2 linked regions of the Saccharomyces cerevisiae S288C genome follow. Changing the gene in region 2 together with the main gene of any one other region gives a genetic interaction. Each region holds a gene or a part of one and is shown on either strand. Other genes may lie near its edges. The genes, in order: GSC2 and SCW4.

Region 1 (8,181 bases), 500 kb from region 2:
CACCCCGAGGTTTAAAAACTAACCGTGATATACGAGGAGAATTGGTAACGGTACAATGATGATACTGGGTAAAGCCGGGATCCTGGCACAGTATGGGACAATATATGTGAGACAAAATACCATTCGGAATAATTTAAGTTCCTGCATTTTTAAGCAGTCACTATGTGCCTTTCATTCATTAGCAAAGGTGCTGCAACAAAAGCAAGTCCCACTGGACCTTTCATATGACATAATCAAGAGAGATGCAGTAAAAACTGGGGATGAAGGGAAGCCAAGACCACCTATTATCATACTTCACGGCTTATTCGGTAACAAGCTCAACAACCGAAGCATTGGCCGTAACCTTAACAAGAAATTGGGAAGAGACGTGTATCTGCTGGACCTAAGAAATCATGGATCCTCACCACACAGTTCAGTCCATAACTACGAAGTCATGTCGGAAGACGTGAAACACTTTATCACAAAGCACGAATTAAACACCAATGGAGGCCCTATTATAATAGGACACTCAATGGGTGGTAAAGTTGCCATGATGCTGGTCCTGAAAAACCCGCAACTTTGTTCGATGTTAGTCTGTATAGAGAACGCTCCGGTGAGTTTGCGCCCTAACGCTGAGTTTGTCGAATACATCAAAGCGCTGATGGAAATCGTCAACGACAAGGGCAAAACTATCCGCACGCTGAAACAGGCTGATGAACACCTTGCAGAGAGGATCGGCGGCAATGAGCTAGTAAGGCGGTTTCTCCTAACGGCGCTGAAAAAGGTCAAGATGGACAATTCATCGTCTGTGTCGTCATATACATTCGAAGAACGAATTCCCCTCGCAACACTGAAAGATGCCATTGTCAAAGGTGAAATTGCCGCGTGGCCCCTAGATCCTGCTCGTGAACGATGGACGCGGCCTGCGCTATTCATCAGGGCTACTCAATCGCATTATGTGGTAGACGAGTATCTTCCGATCATCGGCGCGTTCTTTCCACGCTTTGAAACACGTGACATCGATGCGGGTCACTGGGTAAATGCGGAGAAGCCTGGGGAATGTGCCGAAAGCATCGTCGATTTTGTGGAGCGGCACGAGGATTAAAGGCAAGCGCCCCGGAGCAAGGTGCCAGTAGCACCAGTCGGTGGCTGTGCGCTTGCCGTAGCACATGACATACGGACTATTGTGTGAGTGGTGATGGGGTGTAGGCAGTGCCACACCAGTTTAAAGGCCTAGTAACGGCAAATCGCCAAAAGAGATGATGCTGATGCATACGATAAGATCGTCAGTTTCACGTTCGCGGTTCGAACATGGAATTGTGGCTAAAGAAATTTGGGCGGTATGATGCAAATGAGGTGTACGTATGTATATATAGCAAAGAGTAGAATAAAATGAGATAAAGCCTCGTTCGTTCTCTCCATTTCTTCCCTGTTTCTCCTTTATTTTCTCTACTGCTTATTTCGAGTTCACCAGAGAACAAGAGAGCAGGAACGCAAAGAGTGTGTGACACGAAATTCAAGATACAAAAATAAAAGCTTACGTTGTGTATTTCAACTGGTGTGCTAAGAATAGAGTTTCATAAAGTACTGCATTTATTCATATATTATTTTTGTTATTTGTATATATACTTCACACTTAGAGTTCTACTAAAAGTCTACCCAGCACGCATCCTTCGTTTATTTTTACATCTCTCTTTTGCTTTTCCTTTTTTTTTTTGGTGCTTGCTAGATACTACTGAAGATCAAAGGTTACAAAGAACGCCGCATATATTTTCTGCAGGCATATTAAAGAAGTTACAAAAGGATTAATCGAAGCGCTGTTTGGATACACTCCTGTAAAGAGAAGAAAAGGAAAAAAATAAAAAGTGGACAATAAATAATTATTAAACTGTCATAGTTATGTCCTACAACGATCCAAACTTGAATGGACAGTATTACAGTAACGGTGATGGGACTGGTGACGGTAATTACCCTACGTACCAAGTGACACAGGATCAAAGTGCGTACGATGAGTACGGTCAGCCAATCTATACACAAAACCAACTGGATGATGGTTATTATGATCCAAACGAACAATACGTTGACGGTACACAATTTCCTCAGGGACAAGATCCTTCACAAGACCAAGGTCCTTATAATAACGATGCTAGTTACTATAACCAACCCCCCAATATGATGAACCCGTCTTCTCAAGATGGAGAGAACTTCTCAGATTTTAGCAGCTATGGTCCCCCATCCGGCACTTATCCTAACGATCAATATACTCCTTCTCAAATGAGTTATCCTGATCAAGATGGTTCTTCAGGGGCCTCAACCCCCTATGGAAATGGTGTCGTTAATGGTAATGGCCAGTACTACGACCCTAATGCTATTGAAATGGCTTTACCAAATGATCCATATCCCGCATGGACCGCAGATCCCCAGTCTCCCCTGCCCATCGAACAAATCGAAGATATCTTCATAGATTTAACAAATAAATTCGGTTTTCAGAGAGATTCCATGAGAAATATGTTTGACCATTTTATGACCCTTTTGGACTCTAGATCTTCTAGGATGTCTCCAGAACAGGCCCTTTTATCATTACATGCAGACTACATAGGTGGAGATACGGCCAACTACAAAAAATGGTACTTTGCCGCTCAACTTGATATGGATGATGAAATTGGTTTCAGGAATATGAAGTTGGGTAAGCTATCAAGAAAGGCAAGAAAGGCTAAGAAGAAAAATAAAAAAGCCATGCAAGAGGCTAGTCCTGAAGACACTGAGGAGACTTTAAATCAAATTGAGGGTGATAACTCATTAGAAGCTGCGGATTTTAGATGGAAGTCAAAGATGAATCAACTTTCTCCATTTGAAATGGTTCGTCAAATTGCCTTGTTTTTATTATGTTGGGGCGAGGCAAATCAAGTCAGATTTACCCCGGAGTGTCTTTGTTTCATTTATAAATGCGCCTCTGATTACTTAGATTCTGCACAATGTCAACAACGTCCTGATCCCTTGCCTGAAGGTGATTTTTTGAATAGAGTTATTACTCCTCTTTATCGTTTTATTAGGAGCCAGGTTTACGAAATCGTGGATGGTCGATACGTGAAGAGTGAAAAAGATCATAACAAAGTTATTGGGTATGATGATGTCAATCAATTATTCTGGTATCCAGAAGGTATAGCAAAAATTGTCATGGAAGATGGAACCAGGTTGATTGATTTGCCAGCAGAGGAGCGTTATTTGAAATTGGGAGAAATTCCCTGGGATGATGTCTTCTTTAAAACTTACAAAGAAACACGTTCCTGGTTACATTTAGTTACCAACTTCAATCGTATTTGGATCATGCACATCTCAGTATATTGGATGTATTGTGCTTACAATGCTCCAACTTTTTATACTCACAACTATCAACAATTGGTCGACAATCAGCCTTTGGCAGCTTATAAATGGGCCACTGCAGCATTAGGTGGTACTGTGGCAAGTTTGATTCAAGTTGCCGCTACTTTGTGCGAGTGGTCATTCGTTCCTAGAAAATGGGCGGGTGCTCAACATTTGTCCCGTAGATTCTGGTTCTTGTGTGTCATTATGGGTATTAATTTGGGGCCTGTGATATTTGTTTTCGCTTATGATAAGGACACAGTATATTCTACTGCCGCTCATGTCGTTGGAGCAGTTATGTTTTTTGTTGCTGTGGCAACACTTGTTTTCTTTTCCGTAATGCCATTGGGTGGATTATTTACATCGTATATGAAAAAGTCCACAAGAAGTTATGTTGCCTCACAGACCTTCACCGCATCTTTTGCTCCATTGCATGGTTTAGACAGGTGGATGTCTTATTTGGTTTGGGTAACCGTTTTTGCTGCTAAATATGCAGAGTCATATTTTTTTCTAATACTGTCACTAAGAGATCCAATTAGGATTTTATCTACTACATCAATGAGATGTACTGGTGAATACTGGTGGGGTAATAAGATTTGTAAGGTCCAGCCAAAGATTGTTTTAGGTTTAATGATTGCGACTGACTTCATTTTGTTCTTTTTGGATACCTACTTGTGGTATATCGTTGTTAACACTGTTTTCTCGGTCGGAAAATCGTTCTATTTGGGTATTTCTATCTTAACTCCATGGAGAAATATTTTCACTAGATTGCCAAAAAGAATTTATTCTAAGATCTTGGCTACTACTGATATGGAAATAAAATATAAACCGAAAGTACTAATTTCTCAGATTTGGAATGCTATCATTATCTCCATGTACAGAGAACATTTATTAGCCATAGACCATGTACAAAAATTGTTATATCATCAGGTTCCGTCCGAAATTGAAGGTAAGAGGACTTTGAGAGCACCAACTTTCTTTGTTTCCCAAGATGACAATAATTTTGAGACTGAATTTTTCCCTAGAGATTCAGAAGCTGAGCGCCGTATTTCATTTTTTGCCCAATCTCTATCCACTCCAATTCCAGAACCACTACCAGTTGACAACATGCCAACATTTACTGTATTAACTCCCCATTACGCCGAGAGGATTCTATTATCATTGAGAGAAATTATTCGTGAAGATGATCAATTTTCAAGAGTTACTCTTTTGGAATACCTGAAGCAATTACACCCGGTAGAATGGGACTGTTTTGTTAAGGATACGAAAATTCTTGCTGAAGAAACGGCCGCATATGAAAACAATGAAGATGAACCTGAAAAGGAAGACGCTCTGAAATCTCAAATTGATGATTTACCTTTCTATTGTATTGGTTTCAAATCTGCTGCACCAGAATACACCTTACGTACGAGAATCTGGGCCTCTTTAAGGTCGCAAACTTTGTATCGCACAATCTCGGGGTTTATGAATTATTCGAGGGCCATAAAATTACTTTATCGTGTGGAAAATCCAGAAATCGTTCAAATGTTCGGTGGTAATGCTGATGGATTAGAAAGAGAACTGGAAAAAATGGCAAGGCGAAAATTCAAATTCTTGGTTTCGATGCAAAGATTGGCCAAGTTTAAACCACATGAACTAGAAAATGCTGAGTTCCTGTTGAGAGCTTATCCGGACTTGCAAATTGCCTACCTGGATGAAGAACCTCCCTTAAACGAAGGCGAAGAGCCAAGAATTTACTCGGCCTTAATTGATGGTCATTGTGAGATTTTAGAGAATGGTCGTAGACGTCCCAAATTTAGAGTTCAACTATCCGGTAATCCAATTCTTGGTGATGGTAAATCAGATAATCAAAATCATGCTTTGATTTTTTACAGAGGTGAGTATATTCAATTGATTGATGCTAATCAAGACAATTACTTGGAAGAGTGTTTGAAAATCAGGTCTGTCTTAGCAGAATTTGAAGAATTGGGAATTGAGCAAATTCATCCTTATACTCCTGGTTTAAAATATGAGGACCAATCCACAAATCATCCTGTTGCAATTGTCGGCGCTAGAGAATATATTTTCTCAGAAAACTCTGGTGTTCTTGGTGATGTAGCGGCTGGTAAAGAACAAACTTTTGGTACATTATTTGCCCGTACTTTGGCACAGATTGGTGGTAAATTGCATTATGGTCATCCAGATTTTATTAATGCGACATTCATGACTACTAGGGGTGGTGTTTCCAAAGCACAAAAGGGTCTACATTTAAATGAAGATATTTATGCCGGTATGAATGCCGTACTTCGGGGTGGTCGTATCAAGCATTGCGAATATTATCAGTGTGGTAAAGGTAGAGATTTAGGTTTTGGTACAATTTTGAATTTCACTACTAAGATCGGTGCTGGTATGGGTGAACAAATGTTATCTCGTGAATACTATTATTTGGGTACGCAATTACCTATTGACCGTTTTTTAACATTTTATTATGCGCATCCAGGGTTTCACTTGAATAACTTATTTATTCAATTGTCTCTGCAGATGTTCATGTTAACTTTAGTGAACTTGCATGCTTTGGCTCATGAATCCATTCTGTGTGTTTACGATAGGGATAAGCCAATTACTGATGTTTTGTATCCAATTGGTTGTTACAACTTTCATCCTGCGATTGATTGGGTGAGACGTTATACACTCTCTATTTTCATCGTCTTTTGGATTGCTTTTGTCCCTATTGTCGTTCAGGAATTAATCGAGCGTGGTCTGTGGAAGGCGACACAAAGATTTTTCCGTCACATTTTATCTCTATCTCCAATGTTTGAAGTCTTTGCTGGCCAAATCTATTCTTCAGCACTGTTAAGTGATATCGCTGTGGGTGGTGCTCGTTATATTTCAACAGGTCGTGGCTTTGCTACATCTCGTATACCTTTCTCTATTCTTTATTCAAGATTTGCGGGTTCAGCCATTTATATGGGATCAAGATCAATGTTGATGTTATTATTTGGTACCGTGGCACATTGGCAAGCTCCACTATTATGGTTTTGGGCATCATTATCAGCCTTAATCTTTGCACCATTCATTTTCAATCCACATCAATTTGCTTGGGAAGATTTTTTCCTAGACTACAGAGATTATATCAGATGGCTGTCAAGAGGTAATAATAAGTACCACAGGAACTCATGGATTGGTTATGTAAGAATGTCGAGGTCTCGTGTTACTGGTTTCAAGCGCAAACTGGTGGGTGATGAGTCTGAAAAATCTGCAGGCGATGCAAGCAGGGCTCATAGAACCAATTTAATTATGGCTGAAATTATACCGTGTGCGATTTACGCAGCAGGTTGTTTTATTGCCTTCACGTTTATTAATGCACAAACTGGTGTCAAGACTACTGATGAAGATAGAGTAAATTCCACCTTACGTATCATCATTTGCACCTTGGCGCCTATTGTTATCGATATTGGTGTTTTATTCTTCTGTATGGGTTTGTCATGCTGCTCTGGCCCTTTGTTGGGCATGTGCTGCAAGAAAACTGGTTCTGTTATGGCAGGGATCGCTCACGGTATCGCTGTTGTTGTCCATATTGTCTTTTTCATTGTCATGTGGGTTTTAGAGGGTTTTAGTTTTGTTAGGATGTTGATTGGCGTTGTTACATGTATACAATGTCAAAGGTTGATTTTTCACTGTATGACTGTACTGTTGCTGACCCGTGAGTTCAAGAATGATCACGCTAATACTGCCTTTTGGACAGGCAAATGGTACAGCACCGGTTTAGGATATATGGCATGGACTCAACCGACAAGGGAATTGACTGCAAAAGTCATTGAGCTTTCCGAGTTTGCAGCGGATTTTGTTTTGGGGCATGTAATTTTGATCTTCCAACTACCAGTCATTTGTATTCCAAAGATAGATAAGTTTCACTCCATCATGTTATTTTGGTTAAAACCATCCCGTCAAATCCGTCCTCCTATTTACTCTTTGAAACAAGCACGCCTACGTAAACGTATGGTTAGGAGGTATTGCAGCTTGTACTTTTTGGTACTGATCATATTCGCGGGATGCATCGTTGGCCCTGCCGTTGCTTCAGCACATGTTCCAAAAGACCTTGGATCTGGGTTGACGGGTACTTTCCATAACTTGGTTCAACCAAGGAACGTATCTAACAATGATACAGGGTCCCAGATGTCTACTTATAAGAGTCATTATTACACTCATACGCCATCCTTAAAGACCTGGTCTACGATCAAATGATTTTTTTAGTTTACAATCTATTTTTGTTTCTAAGCAAGTTTATCACGCAAATACATAAGTATATTTTTACTTTCTATTCTTCCTAGTTTATATTTATTTCATTGTAACTTTCTTAGAAGCTCGGTCCTCTCGCTATATAGTAGGATCTGCAACATATTTGGATGTGGGTGGGCGTTCTCCTTCTTTTTTAGATGTAAGGTCCAACACGTATAACAGGTGATACACATAGAAAGACACGTGGAAATAACAGTCATTTACGAATATTTAAAACCTGAGCAACTCCGTCAAATTTGATCTTAATCTTTTCTGGGGCCCCATCTAATTCCCAGAAAGCCCTTCGAATTAGAAACCGGATGCAATTTTGGCTTGATCAAATAGTAACGCTTCTCTCCGGGAACATCAACGTACATGTTGATAAAGTCAGGTTGATAATTCTGTTTGGATTCTTTAGCCTCTAAGTGAACCAACGCTATTTTCTTTTTGGATTCAACGTGGAATCTCATATAGTGATGTGTCCTACCTTCTTTATCTAATTTTTTGGTAGATACTATAGGCCTGTTTCTTGTCCATTTGTCATTCGTTATAAGCTCACCGTACGCTTTCAATCTTTCTTTT
Region 2 (3,676 bases):
GAGATGAGTACTCAATAGTAACATATAGGCAGCTTACACCATTAAACAAAGAAGCAGAATGGGTTTGGCAGCTACAAGAACCAAACAGCGGTTTGGTTTAGACCCCAGAAATACGGCATGGAGTAACGACACCTCGAGATTCGGGCACCAATTTCTAGAAAAGTTTGGATGGAAACCCGGTATGGGTCTGGGGTTATCCCCCATGAATTCGAACACTTCGCATATCAAAGTGTCAATTAAGGACGACAACGTTGGGCTCGGTGCTAAATTAAAACGTAAAGACAAAAAAGACGAGTTTGATAATGGTGAATGCGCAGGGTTGGATGTCTTCCAGCGAATTCTTGGTAGGCTGAACGGAAAGGAAAGCAAAATATCAGAGGAATTGGACACGCAGAGAAAGCAGAAGATTATTGACGGAAAATGGGGTATCCATTTTGTGAAGGGTGAAGTTTTAGCAAGCACGTGGGATCCAAAGACTCACAAGTTAAGAAATTACTCCAACGCGAAGAAACGAAAGAGGGAAGGAGACGATAGCGAAGATGAAGATGATGACGACAAAGAGGATAAAGACAGTGATAAAAAGAAGCACAAGAAGCACAAAAAGCATAAGAAAGACAAGAAAAAAGACAAGAAGGACAAAAAGGAGCATAAGAAACATAAAAAGGAAGAGAAGAGATTGAAGAAGGAAAAAAGGGCGGAAAAGACCAAAGAAACGAAAAAGACGTCAAAATTAAAATCTAGTGAATCTGCATCCAATATCCCCGATGCGGTAAACACAAGACTATCGGTGCGCTCCAAATGGATAAAACAAAAGAGGGCCGCGTTGATGGACTCCAAGGCACTGAATGAGATCTTTATGATAACAAACGACTAAACATTCCATTGCGTTTCATTGTGTGAGCAGCTGGCCAGTCTGCACACGCAGCAAGATATATAGAGTGGGGAAAAATTCTTCCCCGGTGCCAAAGAAAAAAGCAAATAAAAATGAAAAAAAAAAATGTGTGCCAGTACGACAGCATACCGCAACGAGTTTTTACATACATGATTAAACTAGTAAGTAATATTATAAGTATTTATTGAACTTATTGCGCCACGACTTCTGCCCCTGCAAAACCTTCAGCTTTATTAGGTGGGTTTGATGGAAGATAGTAGAGCAAGTGGAAAGCATAACATCGCTAACGTCTTCCACACCCTCCATAAAGCCGCTGCATGAATGATAAACGGGCTCAATTCGTATCAGTGTAACCAAATCCATCAATTAACGCCCAATCGAGCTCGTTAACTCCATTTTGGGAAAGAATCAAGATGCCTAGCCCGGCCTAATCGAGATGCATCCACAAACGACCCTGCACGGTCATTTCCCAGAGGGTTTTGTAATTTGTAGGCACCGCTTTTCGCGCGACACCCTGCTGCAATAGGATCTTCTCCCTAGAAACACGCGCAACGCACCTCTTTTCCCTTTTCGTTTAGCCTCTCCAAATGAGGAAAATAGGCACATGATTCCTTTTCACGCGCATTTTTTTCAGAAATTTTCTCTTGTGGTGTTGTTTCAAAAACGGCACCGTTGTTTTTGTTTTTTTTTTTCTGTTTTCTCCCATTCCTCGAGGAGAAGATCTCTGTTTTATAAAACTAATAGATATGTATTCTTTATCTTCTGTCATAATTGTTTTCTGTTTAGTAGTTCTTTTAGCCCTTATTCTATTCTTTTAATAGTGTTTACACAAAGGTCCAGCTAGATATCTAACTAAATCCAACTAAGTCATTCTTTTACATCTACAATCGTTTATATACTAGCAAGCCATACCGAAAAGCAAACTAGAAAAATATGCGTCTCTCTAACCTAATTGCTTCTGCCTCTCTTTTATCTGCTGCTACTCTTGCTGCTCCCGCTAACCACGAACACAAGGACAAGCGTGCTGTGGTCACTACCACTGTTCAAAAACAAACCACTATCATTGTTAATGGTGCCGCTTCAACTCCAGTTGCTGCTTTGGAAGAAAATGCTGTTGTCAACTCCGCTCCAGCTGCCGCTACCAGTACAACATCGTCTGCTGCTTCTGTAGCTACCGCTGCTGCTTCCTCTTCTGAGAACAACTCACAAGTTTCTGCTGCCGCATCTCCAGCCTCCAGCTCTGCTGCTACATCTACTCAATCTTCCTCTTCCTCCCAAGCTTCTTCCTCTAGTTCTTCCGGCGAAGACGTCAGCAGCTTTGCCTCTGGTGTCAGAGGTATCACTTATACCCCATACGAGTCCAGCGGTGCTTGTAAATCCGCTTCGGAAGTTGCTTCCGATTTAGCTCAATTGACTGACTTCCCAGTCATTAGATTGTACGGTACCGACTGTAACCAAGTTGAAAATGTTTTCAAGGCTAAGGCTTCGAACCAAAAAGTCTTTTTAGGTATTTACTACGTTGACCAAATCCAAGACGGTGTCAACACCATCAAGTCTGCTGTTGAATCTTACGGTTCTTGGGACGATGTCACCACTGTTTCCATTGGTAACGAATTGGTTAACGGTAACCAAGCTACCCCATCCCAAGTCGGTCAATACATTGACTCTGGTAGATCTGCCTTGAAGGCTGCCGGTTACACTGGTCCAGTTGTTTCTGTTGATACTTTTATTGCTGTGATCAACAACCCTGAATTGTGTGACTACTCCGACTACATGGCTGTTAATGCCCATGCTTACTTTGACAAGAACACAGTTGCCCAAGACTCCGGTAAATGGTTACTAGAACAAATCCAAAGAGTCTGGACTGCTTGTGATGGTAAGAAGAATGTTGTTATCACTGAGTCTGGTTGGCCATCAAAGGGTGAGACTTACGGTGTTGCTGTTCCATCTAAGGAAAATCAAAAGGACGCTGTTTCCGCCATTACCAGCTCCTGTGGTGCTGATACCTTCTTATTCACTGCCTTCAACGACTACTGGAAGGCCGACGGTGCTTACGGTGTTGAAAAATACTGGGGTATTCTATCCAATGAATAAGTCTACTCAATTGTAAAAAAAAACAAAAAAAATCTTGATTTAAAAAACGATACCCAATATTTTTAACTTTAAATTAAGGCTTTGATAATCTTCTTTTTCTCTGTTATATCAAAGGACTGCTTTCTGGTTTGCCTTCGCTAATCTTTTTTTTTTTTTTTCATTTTCCTATTTTAGTTCGTTTATGATCTCATTTGTATTTCTGTATATTTGTCTTAATACGAAATACGAGTTTTTATTTTATATTCTACCTTTCTTTTTTTTTTGGCTAAAAGCGTGTACGGTTCTATGTAAATATGTACGATTACATGTGTAATGTTTGTTTGGCCGGGCTCTTCATCTATGCCGTTGCCTTCTTGCAGGCGGAGTCCTGGATCTGTTACGATGGTTTCTCGATCCTCTTGGTGGAGTTCTGGATCTAGCACGTTTTCTTGTTTCCACTGTGAATGGCGATCTTGATCTACTATTTTCTCTGGTGTCCTTCTGTAAAAATAACCTGGATTCGTGAATTTTTGGCCCTTGGGTTGGTTGTGACTCTCTGGCCTTCTTCCGTAACTTTTCAAGTTCCTCCTCTTCTCTCAATTTTTTTTCTTCTTCCTCTGCATCCTCAACTTCTTGAATAATTGTCAACCGGCTTCTCATGTCCTCTGTGAGCAGGCCCAATCCTATGGCAGTAAAGAAATTTATGGAGTA

What was found.
Region 1: of SCW4 (region 2) and GSC2, changing one enhances a phenotype caused by changing the other (phenotypic enhancement), as found in Saccharomyces cerevisiae (one study listed by BioGRID).

Annotation. Positions count from the first base shown.
Region 1 is NC_001139.9:546,386-554,566, forward strand, and holds GSC2 (1,3-beta-glucan synthase GSC2), read left to right. Parts: upstream 1-1,878; coding exon 1,879-7,566; downstream 7,567-8,181. Other genes in the region: IMO32 (Imo32p), read left to right, coding at 56-1,084; NAG1 (Nag1p), read right to left, coding at 424-915; TIM21 (Tim21p), read right to left, coding at 7,863-8,181. UniProt on the Saccharomyces cerevisiae protein: Alternate catalytic subunit of the 1,3-beta-glucan synthase (GS) complex. Synthesizes 1,3-beta-glucan, a major structural component of the yeast cell wall. Required for spore wall assembly.
Region 2 is NC_001139.9:1,048,108-1,051,783, reverse strand, and holds SCW4 (putative family 17 glucosidase), read left to right. Parts: upstream 1-1,825; coding exon 1,826-2,986; downstream 2,987-3,676. Other genes in the region: PXR1 (telomerase inhibitor), read left to right, coding at 59-874; U2-type spliceosomal complex subunit CWC22, read right to left, coding at 3,320-3,676. UniProt on the Saccharomyces cerevisiae protein: Glucanases possibly play a role in cell expansion during growth, in cell-cell fusion during mating, and in spore release during sporulation.